4 linked regions of the Oreochromis niloticus genome follow. The protein of the gene in region 3 interacts with the protein of the main gene of each other region in a pairwise test. Links are inferred from orthologs where the notes say so. Each region holds a gene or a part of one and is shown on either strand. Other genes may lie near its edges. The genes, in order: pias2, ilf2, ccndbp1 and imp3.

What was found.
Region 1: the proteins of ccndbp1 (region 3) and pias2 interact in binary tests that used the Homo sapiens proteins (3 or more experiments, as listed by UniProt). The two-hybrid records come from large-scale screens. The link is inferred for Oreochromis niloticus from reciprocal best matches to the Homo sapiens genes CCNDBP1 and PIAS2.
Region 2: the proteins of ccndbp1 (region 3) and ilf2 interact in a two-hybrid assay, tested with the Homo sapiens proteins (2 studies listed by BioGRID and IntAct). The two-hybrid records come from large-scale screens. The link is inferred for Oreochromis niloticus from reciprocal best matches to the Homo sapiens genes CCNDBP1 and ILF2.
Region 4: the proteins of ccndbp1 (region 3) and imp3 interact in binary tests that used the Homo sapiens proteins (3 or more experiments, as listed by UniProt). The two-hybrid records come from large-scale screens. The link is inferred for Oreochromis niloticus from reciprocal best matches to the Homo sapiens genes CCNDBP1 and IMP3.

The regions. Positions count from the first base shown.
Region 1 is NC_031977.2:829,597-836,594, reverse strand, and holds the start of pias2 (E3 SUMO-protein ligase PIAS2), read right to left. Parts: upstream 3,018-6,998; 5' UTR 2,735-3,017; intron 1-2,734. Other genes in the region: ube2l3b (ubiquitin-conjugating enzyme E2 L3b), read left to right, coding at 6,170-6,196. UniProt on the Homo sapiens protein: Functions as an E3-type small ubiquitin-like modifier (SUMO) ligase, stabilizing the interaction between UBE2I and the substrate, and as a SUMO-tethering factor.
Region 2 is NC_031985.2:35,583,810-35,591,211, forward strand, and holds the start of ilf2 (interleukin enhancer-binding factor 2 homolog), read right to left. Parts: upstream 3,011-7,402; 5' UTR 2,859-3,010; coding exon 2,854-2,858; intron 2,391-2,853; coding exon 2,331-2,390; intron 1,262-2,330; coding exon 1,219-1,261; intron 1,072-1,218; coding exon 967-1,071; intron 877-966; coding exon 799-876; intron 519-798; coding exon 416-518; intron 1-415. Other genes in the region: uncharacterized protein si:dkey-81h8.1, read right to left, coding at 6,933-7,037. UniProt on the Homo sapiens protein: Chromatin-interacting protein that forms a stable heterodimer with interleukin enhancer-binding factor 3/ILF3 and plays a role in several biological processes including transcription, innate immunity or cell growth.
Region 3 is NC_031970.2:14,580,954-14,588,821, forward strand, and holds the start of ccndbp1 (cyclin-D1-binding protein 1 homolog), read right to left. Parts: upstream 3,022-7,868; 5' UTR 2,943-3,021; coding exon 2,861-2,942; intron 1,104-2,860; coding exon 1,044-1,103; intron 794-1,043; coding exon 714-793; intron 483-713; coding exon 401-482; intron 1-400. Other genes in the region: H-2 class II histocompatibility antigen, A-U alpha chain, read right to left, coding at 3,567-3,703, 4,946-5,227, 6,888-7,145. UniProt on the Homo sapiens protein: May negatively regulate cell cycle progression. May act at least in part via inhibition of the cyclin-D1/CDK4 complex, thereby preventing phosphorylation of RB1 and blocking E2F-dependent transcription.
Region 4 is NC_031982.2:10,387,006-10,394,738, forward strand, and holds the start of imp3 (U3 small nucleolar ribonucleoprotein IMP3), read right to left. Parts: upstream 3,019-7,733; 5' UTR 2,870-3,018; intron 2,113-2,869; coding exon of another isoform or gene 1,958-2,112; intron 1,826-1,957; exon of another isoform or gene 1,822-1,825; coding exon of another isoform or gene 1,629-1,821; exon of another isoform or gene 1,587-1,628; intron 1-1,586. Other genes in the region: slc35a3b (solute carrier family 35 member A3b), read left to right, coding at 1,629-1,821, 1,958-2,112, 4,067-4,189, 4,347-4,521, 5,493-5,853, 7,559-7,652. UniProt on the Homo sapiens protein: Component of the 60-80S U3 small nucleolar ribonucleoprotein (U3 snoRNP). Required for the early cleavages during pre-18S ribosomal RNA processing. Part of the small subunit (SSU) processome, first precursor of the small eukaryotic ribosomal subunit.

The sequences.
Region 1 (6,998 bases), on a different chromosome or scaffold from region 3:
GCCACGATCCCACAGCAGAGGGACGGGAGCTGATCAGGATATAACAAATCTCATATATACTACTCATAACATTACTTTCATGTTACTCTGTAAAATGATCTGAACACTGTCTCATAATCACAGTTTAACAATATAAGCTGAGGCTACAGCCCCACACACCAACACAGGTCCTATCCTGATGAGGACACACGTGATCTTTCTCTGAGTGTTTATGTATGAGCACAAGTCAAAGAGGAAACCAGCACAAAGACACTTCAAAGTGATTCTACTGCAGAAACATGATCAGGTAGAAACCTGCAGCCTGACTGCTCATCAGTTGTTTGCAAAGAGCTGAAGTTGTGTTAACAGTGTGATTCTGTCCTGGAGCAGTCTCCACTTTATGCTCTCATCCTTTTGTGCAACAAAAATAAAAGTCATGTCCGCGCTGCAGACTGTGCTGCTGTGTTCCTCCTCCAACACACAAACTGAAATCAGCTGATCGTAGCGAGGGTGCAAGAACTGATAACTGGGATCTATAGGCAGACAGACTAACGATTCCAAGGAATCCTCGTTTCCCATCCCTAGAGGCAGGTGACATCCACACAGTAATTGTCTTTTTTCTGTTTGTTAAACATGCTGATCATCCTTCATCTAGTCTCCCGTTTAAAACACATTCTTACAAAATCTACTGGAATCCATCAGTGTCTCCCCTCAAATCTATGGTATCAACTTTAAAACATCCTACATCACCTCGTCCTCAAGTTATCACATTCCCAAGAGTCCCAGATAACGTACTCTGACCTTTAGGTCGAGGTCACCGAGGTCGGAACTCATTACAAGATGTTGAGTAGATACACTTATGGTACAAAATGAAAATGCTACGTCGCTTCATTCTGTAGGTCTTCCATTCACACACTTTGGTGTCCCGCCCACCCGATGGGATGACAACAATACCCTACCAGCCTTTTTTTTTCTTTTAAAGTAAGGTCACGTGATATTTTGTGTGGCAACACTAACTCCATCGATACAGACAGGCCACAGGTCAATAGGATGCTGAATTCACTCCCTGCTCTCACACATGATCTCCAGACCTGCATCCACCTCTTCCCTCTGAGCCCCCCCCCCCCCCCCCAAACACACAAACTCTGACCCACCACCATCACCCTTTCATTGACTGCCCCACTCCCACTGCACACGAACTTGCCCACAATCACTATGATTGTGTGGGACACCGCTGTTTAAATAATTGTGTAGTATTGTATTGTGTTGTACATAAGATTTTTTATTTTATTTTATTTTGTTTTTATTTCCTTTTCTATCTTTGTATGTTTAGTGTACACTGGGGGCCATGGGAGCACTGCAATTCCAAATTCCTGTGTACAACTGTACATATGATCTTTGACAATAAAGCTGACTTTGACTACTAAATGAGCGGGCCCATCTCACCTGAGGCAACCTTTGTGGACACACCTGCTTAGACTGACTGTGTCACTCAAACAGGTTGTTAAAGGTTAAAGGTCTAATTTATAAATGCAGGCAGATTTCCAAAGAATGAGTCTTTATCAACAAGGACAACTCAAAGGGATTCGACTGAGCAGGCTGCCAGCTGCTCTGGTTATAAGAAGGCTTCACAGCAGTAATAAGCAGTAATATCTTCATATGAATTTGTCTCTACGTGACAACAACATGTTATAGTGATTTATCACAGCTGCTGTATCATCAGGAATAATTTCAAACTTGACCTCATATAGTCACAGACTAACTCTGATGGCAACATTTATGACAGATACAGTGTTGGTGTGTTTGACAAAACTCAAACTATCTGACTGAATTAAACGGATTTGATGAAGTTTAACTTTGAGGATTTAATTTGCAAGATGACAAATGTCAAAGTTTATTATTACAATGTGGATTTGTTATATGTTTGAACTGAAAACTAGAGCGAAACAAAAGTACTTCAATCGTGTATTTCATTGTGTTTTTAATGAATCCATTTGAACTTTTAAAAACCAGACACGTTTAAATGTTTGTCGCTCTGAATGAAAGTCACAGACGGAGAAAACAAACACAACTGATTCTACAACACAACATACACACATGATACACAACAACACAGCACGGCCAAGTGTCCATCTTAGTTTTTCCTTTGTCCTTTATCTGATCTGGGATCTTGTTTCAGTGTCACGTCCACGGTGAGTGAACCCACGACAGTGTGATGATCACATACAGACGCGGTGGCTGAGCGCTGGGTCAGGAATATTTAACACGACATGAAAACAGAGTTTCTGTAATCTCGTTACTAATAAAATAAAAAAACGGATGTTTTAACATGTTTGTATACATCGTGTTTAACTCACAGCCTCGCGATAACTTTTGGCTAATCGGGTGCATGTAGTTTTTTCGATTAGCAGTTTGGTTTAAGTTTCCCACAGAAACTATTTATTATGTTTATTACACCATACCTCACACTCATGATGTCTGCCACATACAACACGTACGTGCATTAAGACCGTGTGCGGACTTTAGAGGCATTCAGTTATAATAACAGCTGTTTGTTGGGAGCTAGCAGTGACTGGCTAGCCTGTGTTAGCATCAGGGCTACATAGTGAAACGTCCACGATCCCCGTGACTACGCTCATCCCTGCCTGTGGGCGCCCACCTCGCCCATCGCTCACCCAAACACACATCAGCTGTTTTCTTCGTTACAAGCTTCAACGTCAACACGAGTGACAGGTTGTGTTTTGTTTTCGCCTACCCGAAACACCACAGTCCTCGCCATCTTGTTGTTCCGGTCAGTGTGATCACTTCCAGGTGAAGCTACAGTGCGGTTCACTTTACAGCAGCTACAAGGAAACTCACAGTGAAGCCGTGTCACGACAACCACGCGAGTCTGAAAACTGCTGTTGTTTAACATGTGTTAGGAAATGGTCCCACAGCACGTGTCAAATCCTCGCTAATTTATATAGATTAAGAGAGTGAGACAGAGCTCTTTAAGGCCACCGAAGCAGGATGTACCACAGAGCTCATATGGGTCCCACTGTGGGCCCCTGGGACAGACTGGGTACAGCCTGCCGTGGGTACAGCCTGTGTGGGTACTGCTGCCGTGTCAAATGTGGCGCATTGCTATGGAGCTAAATTGGGATCCAAAGCTTTATTCATCTGGAAAAGTGATTTCCATCTGTTTTTGATATTTAAAAAGTAAAACAAAAAACAAACAAACAGATGAATTATTTTGAATAAATTATCTGTTTTCGTGCGAATCTGTTTTGTGTTGTTGTTTTTTTACAACTTTAATTTTTCTTCTTTTTTTTTATCAGTTTCGGATCTTTAGGCCGTGATTTTGTGTTGTGGGCGTGTTTCAAGGGCGGGGCGTAGAGTGACAGCTGGAGCAGCATTGGATGGTAGGCTGGAGGACGACTTTAGAAATCAAGAAATCAAGTGAAGGCAGAAGCAAGGATGCAATGGTAGTCTAAGGAGCTTGGAAAGAAAAGCGTCTGGACTTCTTTAAGTTGCTTGAAGACGTTTCACCTCTCACCCGAGAAGCTTCTTCAGTTCTAAGGGTCAATGGCCGAGAGTCCCAGATTTAAACCCAGTGGGAGTTTCCCCCCAAAGAGGGACAAAGGACCCCCCTGATGATCCTCTAATCACCTGAGCCAAGGTGTGAAGAAGCTGAGAGGTGAAACGTCTTCAAGCAACTCAAAGAAGTCCAGACGCTTTTCTTTCCAAGCTCCTTAGACTACGATGACCTGGATGACTGAGAACCTTCACAGACAGATGCAATGGTAGGAAATGAAGATGCTGCACAGATTTCAGGGCAGAGCTGAGACAGGCTCCGAGTGGCAGCAAACATGACTGGGACAGTACAGCTATAGGCTGAAGGAACCTGTCATGAAGGTGATGGGTGTATCCTCCAGAGGAAAGAGGCAGAGACTTGGTGGAGGGATGAGGAAGTGCAGAAAATATTAAAAGGAAGAGATTACCAAAGAGATTGGCAAATAAAAGTGGGACAGGAGGTGCAAAAAACAGTCAGGAGTACTGGGAAACTAGGCGAACAGGAAAGACAGGCAAAGGAAAAGCCTTATAGTGAGCTGTATGTGAAGAAGGAGGGAAAGAACAGTGCCGAGTGGCTACACGCTGACAGATGGAGCTGAAAAGGATTTGCAGCAGCTGGAGATAATTAGGGACAGGAATGGAGATGTGCTAACAGGTGATGGGAGTGTGCAGAAAATGAGAGATCGAGGAGCACAGATGGAGGACAGTGAGTGAGTCAGGAAGTGACTTAGGAAGGAGGAGGGAAGGGCAGCTATGAAGAGGATGAGGAGTGGAAAGGCAGCTGGTCCAGGTGACACACCTGTGGAGGTATGGAGATGTCTGAGAGGGAGCAGTGGACTTCTCAACCTTACTGTTTAACATGCGGGGTCATGTCTACTTGTAAGAGGACTCTCCCACAGTCATAATGTCAGACATACTGAATATGCTTACACGTTTCATGTTTGCAAACCTCATTGGGTACACATGACAATGTTACTTTTAAAAGCCATGTATGACCTAATGTAGTGTTAGGAATGATTCAGAGTGAAGACTCGTTAGTTACCAAACCAAAGCTCGGTCGTGTTCACCAGAACTCTCCACAGTAGGCTTACAGCAGAGCAGTAAGAAGAGAATCACAGCATCATTTCAATCTGTTGACCAAATAACGAAGAAATCCTTGATGATTTTCCTCCTAACGTGCACATTTGCAGACCTTCTTCTTCCTGCCGTCCTCAGTCCTGTGTTGATGCAAGTGTCCAGGTATTTCTGACTGTTCCAGGTTTCATGTCTGTAGTTTTAGGGAAAGAAAGGAGTTTCTTTTTTGGTTAATGTTTTGTTATCGGCCATAATGAATGACATACATTTGTCAAAATCTAGTTTTGCGTCTGGTCGTCTGTGTTTGGGTCACCATTGTCACTCCACACGCTGTGGCACTGCAGACGATCAACATAATCTATAATACTTTCTATAAGAGCAGGTTTGTGGTCCACACACACTGATCAGTTCTATAAAATCATCATCAGTGAAACAGAAGCTTCCCTGGTGTGTATTATTTTTCACTACGTGTCAGATCTTGCCCTGTTTTTCGCTCTGTCTCTTTCTCACCCTCTCTGTCCTGCTCTCTCAGTGCTGTCACAGCAAAGTGTAACAGTGAAACAGAATTTACAACCACATAAACAGCATAAATCCATCTATATCCATTTACAGGCATATTGACAGACTCAATGCCACCAGGATCCAGAGCTGTGATCTGATTAGAAAACTTTAACAAACTCAGATAATAAAGTACATCAGCTGCTCAGCTGGTAACTAGCAAAATGCCATCAGACTAAAGTTAATTAATAATTTCTAATAACACAGTCTACATATGTTTATAAATAAGGCGCGACGATGCAGTCTGAATATTCAAACTGAAGGTGGACTACTGCTTTTCAATTTTCAGGTACAAGGATGACCTGCAGAGCTACATCATCCTGTACTGAGAGAGACGATGGTCATTCTACAGCAGGGTGGTGCAGCACATCCATGTGTGCAGTGGGAGTGACAGAGGGCTCAGAGTGGGGGGCCAAATCAGAAACGTGCTCTGAGCTCCTACTTGTTTGCAGTGCTGATGGACAGATTCACAGATGTTCATATGGAGCAGGTGGAGGCACGCTTTAGAATGAAAGTGCAGGGAGGACATGAATTTACACATGATATTAAAGTAGAAACATGAACTCAAATAAAACTTTATTGTTGAAAGTATTACGCAAGCACATGGAAAACCTTTTTGCTCTCTGCCATCCACATGACTGTTGAATGAGCCATTTACAACAGACTGACAGCAGAGCTGAGGGTTAAACAAGCAGACTCATACAGGTGTAACTCATGGTGCGTTTTCAGGTGTCCACATGCGAACACCTGCATTAATAATAAAAAATAAAACTCGTGTGAAGCGGACACAGCTGAGTTCAGGTCTCCTCCTGCGGCTCCGGCTCACAGCCCAACATGTTTGTAACGTATATAATTACAGATATTCCGCATTTAAACACATCGCTTCCTGTCGTGGACACGTCGGGATGTTCACAAACAGGCGGATGTCCAACCTGATCAGCCTCAGCGCAGGAACAGACCCATATTCCCAGCGCAGTGAATTCTGGGAACACACAGTAGTTTCAAGATGGCGGCGAGCAGGAGGCTGGCCAAGGTAAATCTGTCGTTGCCGTTCTTTTTGATCGTTTCTAATGTTTAAGGACGTATTGACGGTTAGTGCACGCGTCCGTCCTTTGGCTCGTGTTCACGTTACAGAGTATATTTGCACTAAGTGACCGTCAGTGTCCAGCTGTAGCTGTAGGCTCAACAGAAACAAGAGGTCAGCATTGACCACCTAGCCGACCAAATATTAACGTTAGGCAACTAAGCAGTCGCAAATCAGGCCGGAGGATCTACAGGGATCCTGCCCGGGGCTGCCAAAAACCTCATTCAAGTCTCTTATCTACAGTTTGAACGTCGGAAACACTTGAGTTGTGTGACAGAGGGAGTCAATCCGGCAGTGGGCAGCCCAAGATCGTGTCAATTTCCACGGCATAAGACGTTTGCTAATCAGCTAAGTTGCTATCCCCAGATCTCAGCTAGCTACACTTCAACTTAATCAGACTTTGAAGTTCGCCATTAGGAAGTGGGTGTGGGTGAACTACAGCGCAGCGTTACACTTCCAGTAATGCGGCCTGAAGGCGACACACACTAAATGCTACTTTCGTTTTGTGTAGTGGTCGTAGCATATTGCGTAAGGTCCGCGTTAACCTACGTTTGTTTCCGTGATTATCGTTTCTGCCTTTAAACGCACACTCCGCTGAATGACTGCTGTTACAGGAGGCTGTGTGTTGGAAGTTTTACCCGGAGTAACAAAGCTGGCCTCTGAGCTGTAACCGGCTCACTGATACGGGTGTAATGATTCAATGCGAACATGCAGATTAACAATAACAGGATTTCATTCATGAGAAACAAAC
Region 2 (7,402 bases), on a different chromosome or scaffold from region 3:
TTAATAACTGCAAACAAGTTGCCAAATTATCCAAGTGACAAGAAGCAGCACAACGTACAGCATCAAAAAGGCTTAGAAATGATGTCTGTGAAGGTTCTCAGTCATCCAGGTCATCGTAGTTTAAGGAGCTTGGAAAGAAAAGCGTCTGGACTTCTTTAGGTTCTGAAGCTTCTTCAGTTCTAAGAAAAATTGGTGGAGAGTCTCAGATTTGAAACCTTATTTGGGAGCGTCATGGAAAATCTGGGACTCTCTGCCAATTTCTCTTAGAACTGAAGAAGCTTCTCAGATGAAACGTCTTCAAGAAACCTAAAGAAGTCCAGATGCTTTTCTTTCCGAGCTTCTTAGGCTTAGAAATGATGTGTGCTGGAGCAGCAACTTCTCTTTAGACAGTGTAATTGTGCCATATATTACTCACATGTAGGGAGAATCTTGAGGATTACGACCAGGTCAGCAACATTATGTCCTGTCGTCATGGTGCCCTTCTTGTAGGAACCCACCTGACGCACCTCTTCAATTTGCTACAAGTCGACAAGTACAAGATTACTGACATGAAAGACATTATTATTAATTAGCTTATAATATAAATATGAAATCTGTCCAATGAAAATGAAGCTGTATAGTCCACAAAGCACTGTTACTGGATACTTCTAACTGTATTCAAGTGATTCAGTGTTGTTTCTAAACAGTCTTGAGTTTCAGTTCAGCTCTGAGAGAACAGCTGACACACACACCAGTGACACAAGCAGCGTGTGCACTTCACTGAAGCCATTACGACTCATTCACTCATGTTCGACTCACCACTTCAAAGTTGCCAGGTGCAACAATCAGGTTGTCGATCACATTGTTGATCTTTGTGACCAGGGACAGGATGGAAGACTGACGGACAACGAACAAGGTTTGTGTAAGTGAAATGAAACAGCAGGTCAGTTCCATTACTGCTGAATGAGTGCAGGCTCACGGACTGACCTGCTCTGCAGGGGTGGGGCTCAGATCCTGGTTCCTTTTCAGCAGACACTCACTGAAAGCCGTCTCATCAGGTGCAGGCTTCACTCTGGGGAAGGCCATCTCACACTTGTGACAAACAACAGTCTGCTTGAGTACTTGCATTGCTCCTTTAGAACCACTCTACACTTTCATTATACACTGACTGCTGGCTGACGTCTTGCTGCTTTGTAATTTGGTGAAAAGTTTCTAATTCATACCACCACACATACTTACCACATAAAAATCGAATGGAATGTGTGGGACAAATGGCCGGTACCTAAACAAAAATAAAGTTTTGTCAGATTTGGTTAAACAACATTGCAGTTCCAGGGTCTGTATTTCAGTGGTTACACAGCAGTGTTAGTGGTTTTCATTCCAGTTACCGGGGTTGGCAGTGTTAAAGCACAACATTGAAGGCAAGATTTCACAGTTGTTCTGTTGTCTGAGAACAGGACACAAAAATATGAAGCATAGTGATTTCAGCATTTACATTCTGACACATTGAGGTCTGCTTCTCTGTAGTGGAATAAGCAGAGGGACAGGAGCACAGTACAGCGTGTGTGTGTTGACTGGTGCTGTTGGAGCAACAGTATGTGGGACTGCAGAGACGCAAACAGGAACCCAGACGAGTTCAGCTGCAGTGAAGCACATAAATGCCGCACACAGTACTTTTATGGTGGTTATGAGTCGTCCCTGAAAGTGTCTACGGTTCAGGTTCTTTCCCCTAAATAATAATTTCCCCTAAGGATCAATAAAGTATTCTGATTCTGATTCCTCAGCATTACAGCACTACAGCACTCTAAGCTGGTACTATACTATAAAAATGTATTGTGTTATGTAGGGAACAAAAGCAGTTAGGTTAACAGCAAAACATGAAAGTGTGCTGACAGAACGCTGGCAGTCAGATTTTCATAGCTCACACGTTACATCATCATAAAAACAAATGTTCATGAGATCTTTAAAGAGCGCCTCGTTGCACTGTCACGGCTAAATGATAAAAGCTGATTCACGGCAAAACAAATGTTATTTTATTACTTGTGAATTTTTATTGGAAATTGAGAAATTTCTAAAAATGATTTATTTCATCCACAGATGTCGGAGTTTTGCTTACACCCGTGTAGCCTTATGGGTACTGTCACTTCACACTGCCAGCAACATTTATGAGGCCTTGGAGCGAGCTGGACTTTGTGAATGAAGTCGTGGTGACCTGTGTTTTATGGACAAAACACCTGGCACCACAAAGAGAGTAATATTCCCTACATAACGTGTAAATGGGGCTTAGCGCTCGAACGACGAACCAAGACATTACTGAAAATCAGCCAACACATCTGGGCTGGTGAACTCACCCCTGGACCAGTCCTCCGCGGGCCCCGAAGCGGCCGCCTCGGCCTCTGCCGCGGTCTCCTCTGGACACAAACACAACACAGCTGACGTTAGTGCGTGCACAAACCACGTTTGGCGACTGAGCCAACGTGTAATGATGTTGTGATGTAATGACTTAATGTAGAGAAACCAATGCACTACATCAGCGCTGCTTCACTGAGCCAAAGCACATTTGTTTCATTTAGCTTTCCAGCAGGGTAGCTATTAGCCAACGGGATGGTTGCTAACATATGTCTACTATTGTAGCCTTCCCTACACCGAGGAAGCTCCTGCTACACGCTGCTCGGACGTTTGGATTCATTGAAGGAAAAAAAGGAAAGCAGCGAGCTTTCAGACAATACACGCCACTGGCTTTAAATTACGAAGGCAGTAACTGGCTCTATCAGGCACTCAGAGCTAGCTTGTAGCACAGGTACGAGGTAAGAATTCAAAGACTTGATAGTACTCGACTTAAAACACATTGCCCAACGAGCTACACTCGGATACCTCATTGCGTACGACGTTTTGATTATTGTACGTGGAAAATCTCAGAGAATTGTTGAACGTCCCTCTGTGGACCGGCTTCTCGGTGCTGCCTGTTAGTCGTCGACTTCTTCTGTTACAATGGGCGGCACACTAAGCTCAATACTGCCCTCCACAGGACATTTTTAGAATCTCACTGCGGCTGGGATTCTAACAATGTAGACCTAATATTATGTAAATCCAAGCATAACTGCCAAATTAAGTTTAAACTTCATGACCTCACTTTGGCCCTAAAACTGTCAAAAAGGACTGATTGGTGTTTAGGAGAGGTTTCGACTCCTTATAAAGGAGCATCAGATGTGCCCCCACCAGCTTTTTCCTGTCTGTGCTTACAGCCTCTACAGCCTGAGGTTTGCTTTGCTTGCTTTGTGATCTGTTGTCTTGCTGTTCTGTGTAATGTGATGTACTGTTTTGCTGTTCATATGACTCTGTTTAATAAACTGTTTCCAGAATTTTAATCTTTTCTAGAGGATCTTTTTGATTATAATGGGATCTAAAAAGCAGGATCTGGACATCATTGGCTGGAGAAGGTTTTCAAGTTGGCTTCAAAATTTGTGACCTGACAAGTCCAACATCACCTAAACCACTGCCGGAGAATCTTATGCTTTCCTCCAGCGCACAGCAGAACAAAACCGCCAGTTCACTGACTGGATGAGGTCCCTAGCCCAACAGTATGTGGAAGGCAAGAAAGTCTGGTTCCTCGAAGGACAGTCCTCTCAAATGCATGTCAAAGAAACCACATTACTTGGGACTGCTTTTCATTGAAGAAATCATTAACTCTGTGGCTGTGTGCCTCAAATTGCTGACATCCATGAGAATGCATTCCATGTATATCAGTTGAAGCTAGTATCTTCCAACCAGTTGTGACTCCAGTGTCAAATATCCATGTCAAATATCCTTGGGCAAGATAGTGACCCCAAGTTCGTCTCTGACACATCCACTGGAGTATGAATGTGTGTGAATGTTATATAAACAGAACTTACATATACATATAGAAAAAGTACATGTATGAATTGGTGTGAATGAGGCAAATTAAAAGCACTTTGAGAGCTCAGAGTTGAAAGTGCTAAATAATAACCAGTCCATTTACCATTTAATGTTCCTTAGTGAGCTGTCCAGTTGTCATGGAACTGAAGATGTTCAAATATTCATTCTTTTTAGCCTTTGAAAACCTCTGTTGCGACTTACTTATATTTTTTTCAAATGAATATTTTGTGTCTGGCTCACTTTCTGTAATGTATGCAGAAATTGTTCATTCTTGCAGCTTTGTAAAGTGACATATCAAATATCACTTTCATATGTAAAGTTATTACAAGAAAAGATGAGATGGAGTTTCAATTACAAACTCTGTGTAAGCAGTAATCTTATCAAAATAAAGCTTACACCTGTGAGACTTCATCAGAGGTGCAAATATTACAGTGGAGGCTTTTGTGCCAAAGTAACTCAACACAGAAAAATGCCTAAATGTGTTTTGTATTTTATAGCATTTCACCCCTTTGAAAATATGCTGCAGTAGACAATAAACTCCAAAAAACCATGAATGGATATTACCTGTGCAAAGACTGATGCTGCTCAAGTGAAATGTCCCTGCTCTGAGGCATTGTGGGAAATGGAGTTATTCAGTTAATGCAATTTAATTGCGCTGGATTTAAGTTTTGGAAGCAAGACAGCAAAGGTAAGACAGAATTCATGCTAATGTTTTCTAAGCATGAATGTTTTCTAAGGCGGAGCCAGGATGTCATGTTACGGCTGTGTGCAGACAGGAATAGGACCCAAGGTGCAGACTCCGGAGACAAAACGGTGAACTCAAAACAGCTTTATTGCTGAACAAAGAAAATCTACAAAACCTAAACTGAAAAGAATCTAACAAAACACACACAGGGAGCCACAGGGAGATACACACAGCATGAGGGACGACGCGACACTGACTCAAAGAAACACAGGGTTTAAGTACACAGAGGGAGCAATCAGGGAATGGGCAACAGGAGGGAAACACAGCTGGGGCAAATCAGGACTAACGAGACAAGGAGAGCAAAACCAGATACACTAACATGAGAAATGGACTTACAAAGTAAAACAGGAAACATAACACAGACTCTCAGGCAGGCATTATAACAAAGGGAACAAAGACGTGGGACCAGGGCAGACACAGACACTGACTGGACGTGGGGATACAGCAAACAGGGGAGACAGCAACTCAGAATAACAGACAGAAAACCAGAACACTAAAACTCTAACAGAACCCACCCAGAGAACCCAAACTAAGAATAATCCAAAAACCCAAAAAGCAAAACTAGAATATAATGAAGTAACAAACTCAAAGAACCAAAACACAAACCACTGGGTCGATGACCCAGGGATCCTAACACAGGAAGGTGTCAGTGAGGGGGCCAGGATGGATCTGTAATCATTTCGGGTTGGCAGACAGGTTTCACATAAATACACGGCTATTTAAGCACATAAACCACAGACCTGTACAATATTTGGAATGCAGGTAGTAGTGGAGAAGATAAAATAATATTTGGTATAGCAAACTTTTTTTCCCATATTTGTGTGGATCAAGTAACAACGAAGCTCACGCTGTACTAATGTGGCCCAGTTTACAGATTATTCTGAGTAATACTGCTAAATTATTACTGAATGCACCTTGAATCTTTACTGAGGTGCTGAGTTAAATGTCACTTTTTAGTTAATTTTCTAATTTTTAATTATATTCCACATATTAATGCAATAAATTTAATGTTGGTCATATTATTGTTACATTATATCACAAAAGTATGATGGACACTAGTCTCATAAACTACATTAGCTAACCTGAACTTTATTCACTGTCTAGCTTGTTTGTTTTTTTTACCATAAGCAACATTCAGCTCTCTGCACAAACATGAAATTAATTACACATAATCACACAAAGCTAAAACAAAGCTTGACTTTATTTAGCAGAATTGAATGTGGCCTTATGTGTGCATGCTAAGGAAGATTCACAATGATCTAAAAATTATATAGAAAAAAAAGACAAGGCTGTGGTTAATATTCCATTAATATACAATCTGTAGACTCGACAGAACAACCCCGCTTTGGATTCAGCAGATTTGTGCTAAAAAAAAAAATCATTAGTAACAATTCAACATTTCAAGCTAAGCTTTAGAGAGCGATTTATCTGTGCAGCAGTAATTTTATTTTCAGTGAGATTAAAGTTTTCATACATTCATTTACAATTAATTCTATATTATAGTGGTTTGAACAAAGAATGACAACAGGACTAAGAAGCCATACATGAAAGCAGTGTCAGATAGGTTTGATCTGCTAAAATAACTGTGGAGATACACATATGTGTCCTGTGGATTTAACGACTTGAGTTCCAACTGCTCGGATTTTATGAAAACCTCATCTTTGTCCCTAATTTGCCAAAAACAATAAACAATGATGAGAACAGCATTATGACCGTTATATTTTTAGAGATATTTCTCTCTTTGAGTTCTCATTGGAGAACATTTCAGTGCATAAGTAAGTAAGAGGCTTACACGTCAGCAGCTGATGAGAGAAACCCTGAGTTACAAGCAGGATGAGAGTGCTGGGGCAGTCGAACACAGTATTACTGACAGTGGGCTAAAATCGCTGCTTTTATAATATCGACCAATTCTGTTCTTTATATTTCACAACTTTATTAATCTACTAAGTCATGTAGCGTTTTGATATTGATAGAAGTATAAATGGCATACTACGGCGCAGTAATGCTGTGTAAATGATGAATTACTCACTTGTTAATACCTTAATAAGGCTTAATAGTGTGACATTATTATAAAGTGCTACCATGTCAACATTAGTAATAAAACTGTTCCATTTCACAACTACACCATAGTATACTGTAGGGACAGCAGCACTAACACTGATGCTGTGATCAAACATGCCAGAAACTTGTTAAACATTCACATTTATTTTCCAAACGCATAACATACGGAATATGGCTTCCCTGTTGACACTCAGATGTAAGCTGTCTCTTGTGACTGACATGACACCACTGTGAGCTCTGTGTGCTGAGTTCAGGGTTCTGTGGTTTCTATTGGCTCCACCTGGGGTTCAGTGGGTGGGGTGGAGATGTCCTCTACCTGCTCTGAATCAGGTTCTGTCACAACTACAGCCACCTGCTGACACAAAGAGAGCAGTCCAATGTCAGTGTATGTATCAGCATACTGTAGGTAATAAATAAGAAGGTTAAAGGGCACGAGGTGAAAACCCTCGGGGTTCAAATCTGATGTGACCATCATAAATCAGATTTTTATTCCAGATCAGTAAAGGTACCAACAGCAGGCTGTAAACATATCACACTTTTCTCCTCTGAGCACTCAAAGTGTGTTTCGCTACAAGCCTCATTCACATCTGTAAATATATATATGCACATGCAAGTTCATATAGCACCTTCAACCTATGCACAGATTACATTCATGCATACACTCACACACCGATTATGCATCGAAATCTGGAAGTCATTCTTAATGCTCTCACCAAAAGC
Region 3 (7,868 bases):
CCTAAGAGAGTTTAGGCTGTGCTAAAGAATAAAAGGGGTCATACCAAATATTGACTTTGATGCTTGTTAGAATTATACAAACTGTTTATGCCTCATTAACTGCATTGCCGTCTATAATTGCACATTTCAATAAGTTGTTCCAATTTTCCAAAATAACTCGGGGGTGAGTGAAGACTTTTGTTAGTACTACCGTAGTAAACACAGAAGCGCATCGGACTGAAGTAAACGGATAAGCCCACAGACGGGCACTTGCTCTGGCTTTTGGAGTCTGGATTAGACTGATTAGTGTATTGTGATATTCTGGCATTGTGAAATGCTCCAAAAACCTGAATGCAGTGCAACGTATTCACCTCGCTCATCTGAATACAACATTACTGTTCTGCTGTTCACAGGGTTTTACCTTGGCTCTTAGGTAGCCAGTAATACACTGTAGACAGTGTGAGGATGCTCTTCATGATGGAATCTGCCAGCTTCTCTCCATCCTGGAGATTGTGGAGGAAAAACAGACAGAAAACAAATGATGTGCTGGTCTTTAGAAGGTTTATGTGGAAATTCAAGATCCTGAGAAACATGACAATAATTTATGGCTCTAAGTAAGAGTTCAGCTCACATCATCATCATCATTATTTCTTATTTTTACACTATACCAGACTTCAAAACAATCTGTTTATCAGCTCAGTGAGAAACCTTCATGATTACAGAAATAATCTGACCTGCTGTGATGGCAGAGGAGGTTTGGAGAAGGCCAGGCTGAGTTTAGTGGCTTCCTGGGACACTGCCTTCACTGCCTGATCTGCTGACACGAGGACAGTTGCATCATGTAACAACAAGACGATGAAGGAAGGAATTCTCCTAATGCTTTTTTTCTTTCTTTTTTTTTTTAATATCAAATAAGTCATTGCAAAAACATTATAAAAACAATGCAAATACATTTCTTAGAAAACATTCACTGTAACGAGACAGGAACATCAGCCAGTTGTCAAAGGACGTTCGATGCAAAAGTCTAGGAGCTGAAACAGCAGCAAGAGATCATGATACTCAACTCAAAGTGTCCCAGAAATTGGAGAGGTTGAATGCTCCATCGGACTCGTTTGATTCTCCATCTGCGAAGAAAAAAAAAGTTCTAAATTCTTGGTTCTAGTTCTTAAGCTAAACTGCAGAGGATTCGTCTTTTTTTGGCTGCTCAGTGGATCATCTGTCTCCATCTCATCCTGTCCCTGCGTGCTCTTCTGTCATACCAGACCTTGGCATGTCTTCCTTCACTACATCCATGAATCTTCTCTGTGGTCTTCATCCTTTTCTCCTGCCTGGCAGGTCCATATACAACACCCTTTGCCTAGGATATTCCATATCCCTCCTCTGCACATGTTCAAAGCATCTCTGCCTTGCCTCACTAACTTTGTTTCCAAACTGCTCAGTCTGACCTGTCCATCTGATGTACTCATTTCTAATCTTGTCCATGCTGATAACTCCAAAGAAATTCTTAAACTCTGCCACCTCCAGCTCCACCTCCTGTTTTTGCCCACTTTAGTCCCACTGTCTCCAATCCATACATCATAGCAGATCAAACTACGATCTTGTAAACCTCCCCTTTCACTCTTGCTGCTATCCCTCTCTCTCAAAAAAAAAAAAAAAATCACCCCTGACACCTCGTCTCCAGCCTGCTTGCAATCTCTTCTTGTGCACTGTCTGTTGCTTTGGATGGTTGACCCCCAGGCATTTAAACTCCTCTAACCTTCACTACCCTTACTCCTTGCAATTTCAAGGAATTTAAATTACAATAATTTAATCTTTAAATAATCTAATTTCAATTTCTGAAATAGGAGAATTAGCTTCTATTTGCTGTTTAAAATCACTGTAAAATGGATAAGCGGTCAGAAAATAGGATTTGAAGACAGCTCCATGGCACAAAAAAATTATTTCTTTCTTACAATCTTTAACATTTAAGGGTTTCTTGGGTTAAAGGTGTCAGTTTTGATCAGACTCATCTTCTCAAGTGTTAACAGAACTCAGTGCATTTCTGTGTCATTTCTGGACAAAAAAAACAAAACATATTTGGGCTTTTATATACTAGGTTTTCTTCAGACGGAAGACCAAAACCTCCCATCAACTACAATTAGCTAGCCACTATTTTGGACATAATGAAATGTCTGAATATTTTGATGACGACAACACAGTAGTCGTTTTGGATTTTTGGCAGTAACTGAAGGGCCACTTAGGGCTGAGTGGCGCTTTAGTTCCTGTTTGTATGTTTGTCTTGATAAACATTTTTTTTCGTATTAAAATGTCTGATATTGTCCACTTTATCTTTTTCGTATTTCAGCTTTACACTCTTTTGTAAAAGCAAACCTTTAAGTATTGTTATATCCTGCACAATCAGTTGTTTTTGTTCACAAAACTGACTCATGAAAATACCGAGTAACACTGAGGTCTAATGTCCCATTTAGGTCAGTGAAGATGAGGACAACATGAAATAACTGAAAAAGCAAGACAAAAAGCCCCAACCTCCATTTTCTACAAAACCTGGGAATAAAAACCTGAATAAAAGCGAACAGGAATTAGCAGTTAAATGTAGCTGGGTCACGTAATAAAGTGCCAAATGTCTTTATCGCTGTATGTTAAATTAGCTAAATCCCCGTCTTTGTCTGCTAACAAACAGACGTCAAAGTCGTTAACTGCTGCTAAACACACGAATCGAGTTTAACAAACAGTTAAACTCGTAAATCTACAACAGTTAACATGAAGAAAGTTTATACCAATGTTAGCACATATATTAGCACGTTTAGCTAGCTTGACATAAGCTTTTATGGTTAAGCAGTTTCATTTGTGACAACACAGACAGATAATGTGGCACAGTTACCTCTGACTCGGTCTCGGATGCAGTTGATGGAGTTAACCAGATTCCGTAAAGCTACTTTTCCACCACAACTATCAGCACTCATGTCGCCAGAGTTTGTGGATCGTGTTACATGCGTGTTGTGGAACTACATAAGGGGAGCCCGTTGATAGAGGGACAAAAATAAACGAAACAACGGCGCCGCCGGACGTTCCTGCTGACCCGGCTGCCATTCAGCCAGGAGCGCAGCAGAGGGCGCCAACGAGCTAGTCTTCAAAAACTATTAAACAAGCGCGCATACCTGCCTCAAACCAAACAAACAAAGACGTCACAACTCTTTAGTTCACAGTTGTGCAAGATTTTTGCTTTATTTATCTATAAATCCTCAGCAGGGAGGAATTATTCTACACAAATTCTTTTGTAGGTCTGCGTGTTATAAAGGCATACACCGTTGATCATATAACAACCCCAGTAATGATCTCTTTATTAAAAATCAAAGTATATTAACACCACATCATCAAGTGAAAAACAATACAAATTGTAAGTACACATTAAACACATTAAGTAAACAAACTGTCATTCACTATTAATGCAGTGATATAAAGAAGTTATCTGTAAGCACAAGATACTGGATTTTTATGTTTTTTGATGGGTTTTGCTTGCACATATAAAACCAATTAATCAGGGGATTAAAGACTGAATGATTAAAGTTAATTTAATAAACTCAATCTCAAATTTGAAGACATTCATTTGGCTGCTTGATGAAAAAGAAGACTCCGGTCCCGAATCCTATCAGGCACAAAACGACACTCACACCGAAAAACACGGCTTCAGGGCTCACTCTGCTCATCTTGTTTTCCTTCAACTCTGAAAAAAAAAAAAAACATCTTTTATTTGTGTAGTTTGAAAATGACTGAAAACTGCATCTGTTTATGTCTAAAAAGGCCTTCTTGTAATAATTCTATGACTGCTGTTATTTAAGGTAAACATAGGAAGCCAGATGACTTTTTTTTTAATATAGAGTCTGCAAAGGGGGCATTGTGGGGGCGGATGTATAGGTCAAGAAAACATTTATCATGATAAACAGATATCTGTGCAATACTGCAAAGAATCTGTTAGCAAAGCTTTTAATGTTTCTAAACTGCATTCGAACAGGGTTTGGTTGTATGCAGGTAAAGGTGTGAAAAAAGGATTAAGGTTCAGTCAAGAAAACACTGGCTTTCACATGAAAGCTACTCAGTTTTTCTTTAGCCTTTAAAAATGTATCTACATTTGTCAACAGTTACCAGCACAGAGAACAGGAAATCTTTTCCTGGATATCCTCTAGCTAGCCCAAAAGCCCCTAATATTGGCATGTTGCACATGTCAGCAACCAAAGCCAAACATATTTTTTGCTTGAGGCACGCTTGGACTCATTGTAGTTTTCTCCTGTAGTTGTAAGTGCTGCAACTCTGCATCAGCACTGGTGTGTGAATAGAAAAAGTCAAATGAAAAAATCACAGAGTTTGTTTTTTTTTGTATGTTTTAAAATTTTCTCCAGGATTCCTTATTTTTTGAAACTGTTGTACCTCCTCCCTCTCTCTAAGCTGGATATTTCTGAGCTCCAGCATTAACATGACCGAACCCTCTCATAGATCCATGCCTCCAACCAAGAGCCAGGTTTACAAAAACCATATCACAATACAAATCCAGTGAATTGTGATATCATTTTTGACATGTGCAACTGTTTAAAAGGGTGACAAAAGGAAGCATAAATTAAATATAAGTCATCAGACAGTAGATGGAGGGTTCCCCAATTCACAGAACATGAACGTTAGGAGGCTACTTTTTGCTTCAAACAGCTTTACTTTAGTTGCCAATCTAGGACGGTATGAAAGCGATAATGTTGCAGACCTTACATGTAAAAAGAAAAATGTAATCTAACACAGTATTGGTATTGCAGGAAAGTTCTAAAATTGGTATCGTCACCTGATTGTCTACTGGGGAGAATCTCAAGAGTCCTTGGCTTATTCATAAAAACAGTTCAGTTTAATTCAATTTTATTTATGAAGTGCCAAATCACAACAACAGTTACTTCAGGCACTTTATATTATAAGGTAATAATCCTACCCCAGCTCTTGCTGACAGGCACTTTTGCAGCTTGATGCTCCACCGTGCAGATATAATGGTCTCCAGGCTGTGGAGTGAACAGAAGCGTAGAAATCATGTGGAATGTCCCATCACGATTGTGACGATAGCGTAAGTTTGCCACACCCTCTGTGAGCTCCACTCCATTCTTGGTCCATGTGAAGTTGATGGTGGGTGGGTAGAAGTGGTTGGCCACACAAAAGAGAGTGTTCATCACACTGGCCTCCCCCTCATACCGGGTATAGATGTAGATGTCAGGAGGATCTGCTCAAAGAGTCACACATTTCATACTTTTAGAGCAAAATCCCCCCCAAGAACTATTACCTTGATAGATGTAAGAATATATAACAAACTCACAGATATAAAATGAAAGACATGGACAGAGACATTAAAACATCTAAAAAAATGAAAATTGTGTTTTCTTTTGCATTGCATTTATATTTTGCCAAACATTGTTGGTGCCGGAGGTTATTCTAATATTTTAACGAGACTATTACCATAAAAAAACTGCAAATGTGCCAGTAGAAGCCAGAGGGGCTCCTAATGGGGCTGTAGCATTTTTAAATGAGTTGCTTCTCTGTCATCATCTTTCTGCAGGTTACATGTTCATCACAAGGTTATAGCAGCTAACTAAACCATAACTAACAACTAAAACTAGGCACAAAAAGCACTCAGAAATTAAAATATAAGCTAGACTTCTGATTTAAAAATATGATGAAAGAAAAACTGAATATTCTGCTTACAAATCAACCGAAAAAAAGAAAGAAAGAAATATATGAGAATTTTGAGGTGAGGAGGCCTTATTGATATGTTTATTAATTTCAAGGCTGAACCATGAAATAATTGCCAGAAAATTATGTTATGAGTGTTTATTGAGCCTCCTGATGAGAAACAAATATTAATTTTCATATGTGAGTTTTCACTTGTGTCATATTTGCTACATCAGGCAGTTTTTTTGGACATTTATTCCTTAAAAATGTATTGTGTAATTAACTTGTAAAGTAAATAAAGGTACTAAATATAAAAAGGTACTAAATAAAGATGGGAACAGACTGCTTTTTCTCTGGAAAGTTCATACGCAATGGCAGACAGACAGCAAAAGTAAAGCTTATATGGAAACAATCTAAACATTAATGGTGTCATTATTCTGTAGACATTACGTTGTGCAGTCAGCAGAGTAATAACAAAGCTAAAATGCTCTATTGACAGTTTAATTTAATCTGTGCTAAGAAGCAGAATGAGATATCCAGCAGTGCATGGTTATAATTCACAGACATAATGGGCTGGATTGAAAAGAAATGATTTGTACCTGTGCTGACCTCCAGAATATTCTCTCATTGCCACTTGACCCTCTTTGAGCTTTGTTTTTCATCATCATCAACTATGCTGCACTTTCATTTGAGAGAAACTCCAAACACTAAAATAACAGTCTACAGAGTCAGGCAGCTATTCTCTGTGAGTTTGCCGCATGAAATGACACCACACATATTGCATTTGTTCATCTTATCTATAATTTCTAAGAAAATGCTGGTGGAAGCAGAACTCATCTCAGAGTTCAGTTTATGGAAGGAGACTGCCTTAGAGTAGTTTAGAAAGGCCACTGTAACACAAGTTTCAAGCTAATTTAATAGTATATAATTACTTTTCAAAGGTGATTCTGTCTCAATATATTTTTCAAGCCAGAGAGAAGGTCACTGATTAGCTGTGTAATTAAGGCTCCACCAGTCTAGCACCTGCCTGGAGCACTTAGTTTCAAAGCAGCTTGTGTAAGTAAGTCACAGAAAAGAGATATTTTAAACCCGGTATGTGCTCTCTTAATTCTTTCTGGTACATCTGCTTTCAGTTGGATCAACAGTGTTCTTTCTTCCCCTCGATCAGGCTGAGCTAAACGAATGCTCGCAGTGAAGTGTGCCAAGATCAGTACCTTGCCGTAGGGGAGCACCGGGATCAGCATTTTTTGCTTTACCCAAAACGCTGTGACAGTGTGCAGTGCTGGCTTTGGCGACTCCATAAGCCATTTTCTTGAAGTCTTTTGCAGGTTGTGGCAAGTGAGGTAACACCCACACTACCTCTTCCTTGTTGAAATCGGCGTATGCAACCACGTCGTCGTCAACAACAGCGTCCACCCGCACATCATCGGATTCATAGCATCCATAGATGTAATGGAAGTTGTGGGACTGTGCTGAAAAGAAGAAGGTGCAAAATGAATACATGATGGAAGCAGTTCAAACATTCTACACACTGATTTTCCTGACCTTAACTGCAGCCAACAGGCTGGTAGGGGCTGTAGCTCTTCTACTCAGTATATTCTACTTTGAAATAAAAGAGTAGTTTTTATTTCATAGTTGTTAATTAATGAATTACTGTCCAACTGGCTAATTTAAGTCAGCTCTATGTCAAGTGAGGACACAGCACTTTTCTTCTAGAGTTGTTTTGTATTCACTTGTTCTTTAGGTTTAGGCACTAAAATCGTTGCGTTTACCAAATCACTGTGTCTTTGCTTAAACTACCATATTTGCTGAGCACTTCACAGGTGTCCATATGTGATTAGCTGGGAATGATAGACCTCACTCACTTTTAGCAAACCCTGGTTAACTGTTTTCCCCTGTTTGCAGCTCATCTTATCTTCACTTAGGCTAACAGCCTCCAGTCTGTTTAATCTGCTGTTGTCTCTTTCACACGGCTCCAGTTGTAGCTACTTGAACACAGAACAGAATACCTGTTCAATCAGTCATATTAATTTCACCTGAATCTGCTGACAAACTACCTTTCCATGTCTCCTTTATAGGACAGTACCTTTAATCTTTAAATGTATGCACTTTAAAGTTTCAGAGCTCTAATGAGCCATCACATTATAAATACACTTAGCACAGTGAGTGCACTCAGCACTAAAATAAATATATTA
Region 4 (7,733 bases), on a different chromosome or scaffold from region 3:
ATTCTAAAGTGGCCATAGATGCCATCGGGAGTGTGAAGAGGACCATCAGTTAAGAAAGTGGATGGATGGACGTGAATAAGCAAGGGCACAGATGACACTACCTAAAAAAAGAAGAAGTTTGAATATACTTGGAGAGAGTTGGCAGAGTGTGCTGGGTGTAGACGCTGCAGTCTGTAAGGAGGGCACTCACACACAATGACGCACACAGAAACAGAGAGGGACTGTGCAGTCGTGCCCCTCTGCTAAGCACAGCTCCTACATAAAGAGGACACTGTGCTGAAAACACCGCACCTCTTTTTCTGTCACCACTTCATGGTCTTCATCTTGCCTAGTTGTACATCCCTTTTTAAAAAATTAATAGATTTTTTTTTTTTTTTTACTAAATTGCTGTTCAAATACAGCACATATAAATGCTTTACAGCATAAAAGAGTCACAAGTTTGTTTGAGATGATGTCATGAATCTGTAAGAACAAGAAGAAACTGTAAACTGTGTGTGAGTCAGATTCAATGTGCATAATTGTCTGAAGATAGTGGAGATACAGAGACCTCGCTGTTAACAGGGATTAACTAATAATCATGCTGTGCAAACAGTCCACCTGAGCCGATCCCACACTTTCACCTTGTGAGAAAATGAGCACGATTCCTCAGTTCCTCCTACTACTTAAGGTGGGCTGACTCTTTGAGTCTTAAAGTGACATCACTGCATACGTTACATCTTTTAAAAGTTATGCCCTCTGTTTGGAAGAAGGTTTTTAAATTTGGGGCCATGTGGGTGATGTGATGAAGGCAAGTGGACGATGCCTTAATTTGGAAATAAAAGATAAAAGAATGAAGACTGTTTCTCTTCAGACGTCCCAGATGCCAGAGTCAGGAGACGGGTTAGTAATTGTCTCATCACTGTCAGCTTAAGGTTCACAGGTGCATAATTCACTCATGTATAAAATCCTTCCTAATTTTAACTGAATTATTTGTTTAAATTTTAGGACTTTACAATTTGCTGTGCTTTTTCATCTTTAAGCCACAAACCTCTGACCAGTTTAGACGAGAAATGATTTGTAGTTTTTATAAATGACATCTGTGACAGCTGCCATCAAATGTTATTAGAAGTCCGGTGCCAGTGTAGATAAGTAGTGCACAGCTATGTCATTAACCAGGGCAGATGCAGGCTAGGGTTTTCCAGCTGGTCGCTTAACAGTTTCAGCAGTGGTTGACCGACATGTTCCTCTCCTGCACTAAATCTGCACTTGTCTTGCTGGAGGACAGATTTCCAATAACAAGACAAAGGAAAGGTGACAGCTGTTTCCGAAATGTTCCCCATTACTTTTTACTGTTAGACTGTGTCTGTGAAGGACCAGTCACAGCGTGTTAATCCTCAGTCTCTTCCACTGTTGTCTCTTGCATTTCTGCAACTTATTAAGGATGTTGTGTTCGAGGCAGAAGTCAATTTCTAGCTCAAGGACACTGCAGCAGCCTTGCTCAGCGTGTAAGGACGCTCTCTGTGAGTCCTTATGTTTGTGTGAACAAACTGAATGAACCTTTCAGTTCACTCTTCGTTTTTTCATTTTCTTCCTGTCCATCCTAAAAGGCTCCTTCACTGTCTCTCTGCAGAGTCAAACATTCCTCCACAATGGCGCTTTCCTCCGGGCTAAAATACGTGTCTCTGGGGGTTCTGGTGCTGCAAACCACCCTGCTGGTTCTCACCATGCGCTACTCCCGTACCCTGAAGGAGGACGGTCCTCGCTACCTCGCCTCCTCTGCCGTGGTGTCAGCTGAAGTGCTCAAGATTTTTACATGCACTCTCCTCGTCTTCAGCGAGAACAGTGAGTAAGGAGGAAAATCAGTTTTGGACCCTACTTGGGTAGAAAATCCTATATACCTGCTCCCCAGGCTCGTTAATAAACTTCACAGGTGGTCCTCAGGTTGAATTACTGACAGTGCTCTCTCTGTTTCTCTCAGATTTCAGCTTGAGGGCAATGTATGAGCTGCTGAACGAGGAGATTCTGAACAAGCCTGTGGAGCTCGTGAAGCTGGCCATTCCTGCAGGGATCTACACTCTGCAGAACAATCTGCTCTATGTTGCCCTGTCCAACCTGGACGCAGCCACCTATCAGGTTACATACAAATGAATGGATGTGCTTGTTCAGGCTCACTGAGTTTGTGTGTGTGAACTGGTTTCTTTATGGTTTCACTTGGCTGGTGTGTGTTGGTGTACATTTCTGAATTCACGATGTACAGTGGATATCCTGGTAAATATTTACCCAAATCTATCTCATAAAATAATCTCTAAAACAACAGATGTCTTCTGTTCTCATCTCATAAGGCTTGTTTGATTAATTTAAGTGGTACTAAAGCTATACCCTCTGCTATATTCTGTAAATATTAAAGGGGAAAATGCTAGTTTTTGAGCCTAGAACATCATGGAGTTGAAGTTTTGGAACACTGGAAAAAATCATAAAATATATCAAATATTTTTGTTTAAATTAAAGCTTCAAATCCTTCATTTTTAAAATGATATTTTTATAAATAACATTTATAATTGGATGAGAACAAACTCTATAGTGATCTAAAATAACAATAAACAAAAAAACATACTTTGGAAAACAATTCAAACTGACTGAAGCTGTTTTTATGAACTTGGAAAATTAATATAAAATTTAAAAAAAAAATACTAGCCGGCAAAAAGGCCATGTTCACTTTTCCTCTTTGTCACAAAGTAACCATTTTCAAATGAACACCAAGATTTATACGTTCATAACATCCAGTTCCAGTTTCTGTCCTTTTTCACACATACTCAGGTCTTTACAGAAATGAATAACACAATAACATTTGATCAGCATTTCTTAAGTAGAATTGTGAGACTATTATTACCTTATATAGTAGATAGTACCCATTTGTCCTTAAGCGCTAAAAAACCTGAAGAAGAAAGTAAATAAGAGGCACTTGGGAACATTTAAGACCATCCTTTTAACAGCGGCTCAGTGACACGAAATCTTGCAAATGAAGCTGTCCCAACAGGAATGAAGCACAACAAGTTCGGAGTGCAAACACCGTGTCCTCTTATCTATCACAGATAAGATTCTTAGAAATGGCTTTTCTCTTCCATGTTTAACCCTTGTGTGGTGTTTGTATTTTTGTTACTCAGCCAGTGTTCATAGGTCTGGTGGACCCGCTAGACTTTTGGCTTTCCAATTAACACTATCAAACAATTTTATGTTAAATTACTCAACAGATGTTTACTTCATCCCAATTACGAGCCATGTGAACAGCAAACATGGTTAATTTTTTCCCTTTACCTTTGTTCAATCACATTTATGAATTAATGTGCTTCTCTTTTTTTTAATAAAATGTTATAGAAAAAAAATAAAATCAGTTATAATCAAGTGTACATATCTTTATACCATATTTTGCAGGTTTTGATGGTATATACTGCCTAAAGGGGCAGCAGCCTCTAAATGGCATGGTTCTCACAGACCCGAACACCATACAAGGGTTAAAACAGATCTGTCCTGACCCCGGCACAATGGGCTGCTGAATGAAAGGCATCAAAGTACAGATGAGGAAATAGAATACAATAGATGTTCCAAAAGAACGAGAAGTAACTGAAAAGAAGATTTCTGGATATGACTGCATTTCCTGTAACTGTGGCATTTCTATACTACCCATTAATATGTGTTAAATAATAAATAAATAAAGTTTGTCTTTGTAACACTCTGAAAAACATTTGAAGAGCACAATAAAAGACAGGAAAATATGATTGTAGCATAAAATATAATTTTGGCCACAGTCAAAATTAAAAAGTAAGAGTGTAAATAACAAGAAAAATTAAAAATGGCAGAGAAGAAATTAAAAGCAACAGGGTGTTATTTAAGAAAAATGAGGAGCATAGGTAGCAGCTCAATGTGATCAACATTGATCAACTCTACTGTAATTCAGACGGGAGCCAGGCCAGCCTGTGGCTCAGATATAACTACCAGTAGCTTTATATCAATTTTTATGTGCTGTAGCGAGGATGGGAGTAATCCATCATTTACTTAAAGCATCACTTGTGTTTTTTGTGTCCAACAGGTCACGTACCAGTTGAAGATCCTCACCACAGCTCTGTTCTCTGTCTCCATGCTCGGGAAAGAGTTGGGCTGCTACCAGTGGCTCTCCCTGCTCTTCCTCATGGCCGGGATCACTCTGGTGCAGGTAACAGCGCTCGCCGTCACCACAATTATTACTAATGTTTCATTTCTACCTTTCTAATGTTGTTTTTGTGAAGTGAGTCTCAGTGTATTTACTAATCATGTGTTTTGATAAAAGCCTATGCCTTTGCACACACTCATCAGTGTTTCAACCTCCACAGTGGCCCGTCGAGTCTCTGGGCGACTCTGAACAGAATGTAATGTCTGCAGGCTCGCAGTTTGTGGGCCTGATGGCCGTGCTGATGGCCTGTGTGTCCAGTGGTTTTGCTGGAGTTTACTTTGAGAAGATCCTCAAAGAGGCAAGCCAGGGTCTGTGGCTTCGTAATATACAGCTGGGTGAGTGGCTATACCTCCTTTTGTATGACAGACTGAGCGAGGAATGTATGGTTTCTTACAAACAAAAGTTTCCTCAGGATGTTATGCAGTTCCTATGAAAAAGTACACAAGGTAATTTAACAGCTTGCAGAACCACCTTTAACAGTAAGAACTTGTAGCACTCGTTTTCTTAATTACTTTATTAGTCTCTCACATTGTTGTAGAGGAATTTTCACTCTGTCTTACAGTGTAGCTTAAGTTCATCGAAGTTTGCAGACAGTCATTCGTGCACAACTCCTGCAGCACTTCAGGCAGGTTGAGGTCTGGATTTCTTTTATTTTTCAGATGTTCTGTTGTAGATTTGCTGCTGTGCTAGGGATTGTTTAGCTGTCAGACAGATGGGGTTGCATTTGACTCTAGAATACTGCGATATGTAGAGGAGTTCATGACTACGATGTATCCAACAATAACATGTCTCTAAATAAAACTAAAGAGAGACTATAATATGAACTTTTGAAATGGCCTGGCAATGCTGTTAAATTCAGTACAAAATTAAATAAGAGCTGTATGCATGCAAAATGGCGCAACATGCAAGACTTCTCTGAATCTAATTTAACATAATTTAACTGTTGAAATTCAGTCAGGGAAAATTTCATTTTATACCAGGGGTTTCTACAGAGTTCGGACAGCATTTCGTTTACAAGCCTCAGGCTCCATTGGTGACTTAATGTCCTAACAGAAGGACATGTTCAGCAATAACAATAAGTCTAAATAACTGGGTCACGTTTAAACACTGCGCTAATCTGTAGCAGAAAGACAATGTGTTCCTCCTTTGTTGTGTAGCCATATATGTATATATATATATATATATGGCTACAGATTATTTCCTTTTGTTCTTTTTGCCTTATATTGCTCAGTAGTTAAAACACCACCTTTGTCTTATTTGTCCCAGCAAGGACCTGACCTTTATCACTTTTTCTTGTCTCTTTCAGGTTTGTTTAGCTTTGTGTTTGGCTTCATAGGCATGATGGTGTATGATGGCGAAAGTGTCAAGCAGGCGGGGATTTTCCAGGGATACAACATTATTACCTGCATAGTTGTTGTCTTACAGGTTGTGCAATGGTGTTTCACTACAGTGCATCATTTGACTTCCATGAGTTTTATGGCAGCATTTGTGGAGTTGTTCATGTCTGCCTTTGTGTTGTTTGCATGTCGTCAGGCTCTCGGCGGGCTGATCGTGGCTGTAGTCATTAAATATGCTGACAACATCCTCAAAGGATTTGCCGCCTCACTATCAATCATAGTGTCTACACTCATTTCGTATTTCCTGTTGAAGGACTTTAATCCCACAAGGTAAACACAAGCACGCTTATGCTTAATAATTTTTTTTTTTTCATTTGCTAACACTTTATGAGTGGAAAACATGGTATTCTTGTTTGTGTCTGTGTGTGTGTGTGTGGGGGGTGGGGTGAAAGGCTGAAATACATTTAGGTCCTTAACTTTTGGACAAAGACACTTTTTTTTCAGTTTTGCATCTGTCCACCGTCACAGACTATTTTAAAGAAAACAATTATGATTTAAAATCCACTGTGGTGGTGTAACGAGGCGTACTATTAAAAACTATCATTATCCAAAAACTCATGGACCCAACTGTGTGTCAGCAACTGACACTGATTAACAGGAAACCAGTTAAAACAGAATCCAGATGTCTTTTAACAGTCACCTGACTACACTGACCACCTTGACATTTGTGGATTTTCATCAGGTTTTGTGTTGATTAAAAAATAGTTCTTCCATCACAAATTCCAGTTTAGCCTTTGTGGTTTTAACTAACGATATCAGCTTTATTTTAATACTAATCAGCAAGTCTTTGCTTCCAAACATGTTAAACTGTGCAGTGAAAAGTTTTTGCCACCTTCTTGATTTGGTAGTTTTTTCCATATTTGTTATATTTAAATGTTTCAGATCATCAAACAAATTTTAGAATTAGAAAAGATAAGCCAAGTAAATAACTGGGTTAGTTATTATAACGTAATAAGCTGTTGTGCTGCCTTCGGCAGAAGCAATCTGCAAGAACTGCAAGACATGGTGACGCTGCATGAGCCGAGAAACCTTGAGCTTCAGGGCATAAACTGATGGCCGGATATTCTTCTTCGGGATTTTATAGTACAGAGCAGAATTCATGGTTCCATCAATTACAGCAAGTTGTCCAATTCCTGAAGCAGAAAAACAGCTCCCGAACATTACCACCACCATGTTTGACTGCTGGTATGAAATTCTTTAAGGAGATGCTGTGTAACAGGATGTAACAGGAATGGCCGGTGTCCTGCAAGTTTTAGATGTGTCCTTGATCCAACACAGCTGATTTAAATGGCTAAATTAATCCCTCAACATGTCTTGAAGTTCTCCAGAGGCCTGGTAATGAACTAATCATTAAAACCTGCAGGACATCAGCACTTGAGGCCTGGAGTTGTCTACCCCTGCTTTAGATGGTGTTCTAGGTTCATTTGTGCCCATTGATCACCTTGGAGTAATTTTGGCAGGTTAGCTGCTGCTGAGAAGATTCACCACTGTTACAAGTTTTCTCCATTTGTGGATAATGACTCTCACCGTGGTTCACTGAAGTCTTAAAGCCTTAGAAATAGCTTTGTAACCCCTTTCCAGACTGATAGATGTCAATGACTTTGCTTCTCACCGGGCTTTTTGAGATCTTTTAGCCTACTTCACTTTGTCAGACACCTTCAGTTTAAAGGATTTCACACTTCACAGGTGTGGCAGTAATCACGCCTGTGTGTGACTACTGAACCTGTCAGCTTTCCAAAAACAATTAGGTAAATCAGATTTAAGTCATGTCATAACAAGAAAGAAGTCACGAAGGGGACAACTGTTTCACTGCACTTGCTATCTTCTAATCGGCAACAATTGTTTTGAAAGGCAGTGTCATCAAAATCTTGGCAAAGCACACACTAGTATCGACAGTTGATAACTGTCATACACACAAGGGGCCTCAATTGTTGTGCTTCCAACCTAATGCATTTTCTTTTTCTCTGTCTCTCAGTGTATTTTTTCTAGGTGCAGTACTGGTTATTGCCGCCACATTTCTTTACGGCTATGAGCAGAAACCTGCCAGCAGCAGCACCAACAAAGTGTAATCAGAGACTTGCGTGAATTGTGGCTCTACGAACTGTGACCGGGAATTTCCTATATGAAAAATTTCATTACCGAAAAAGTAA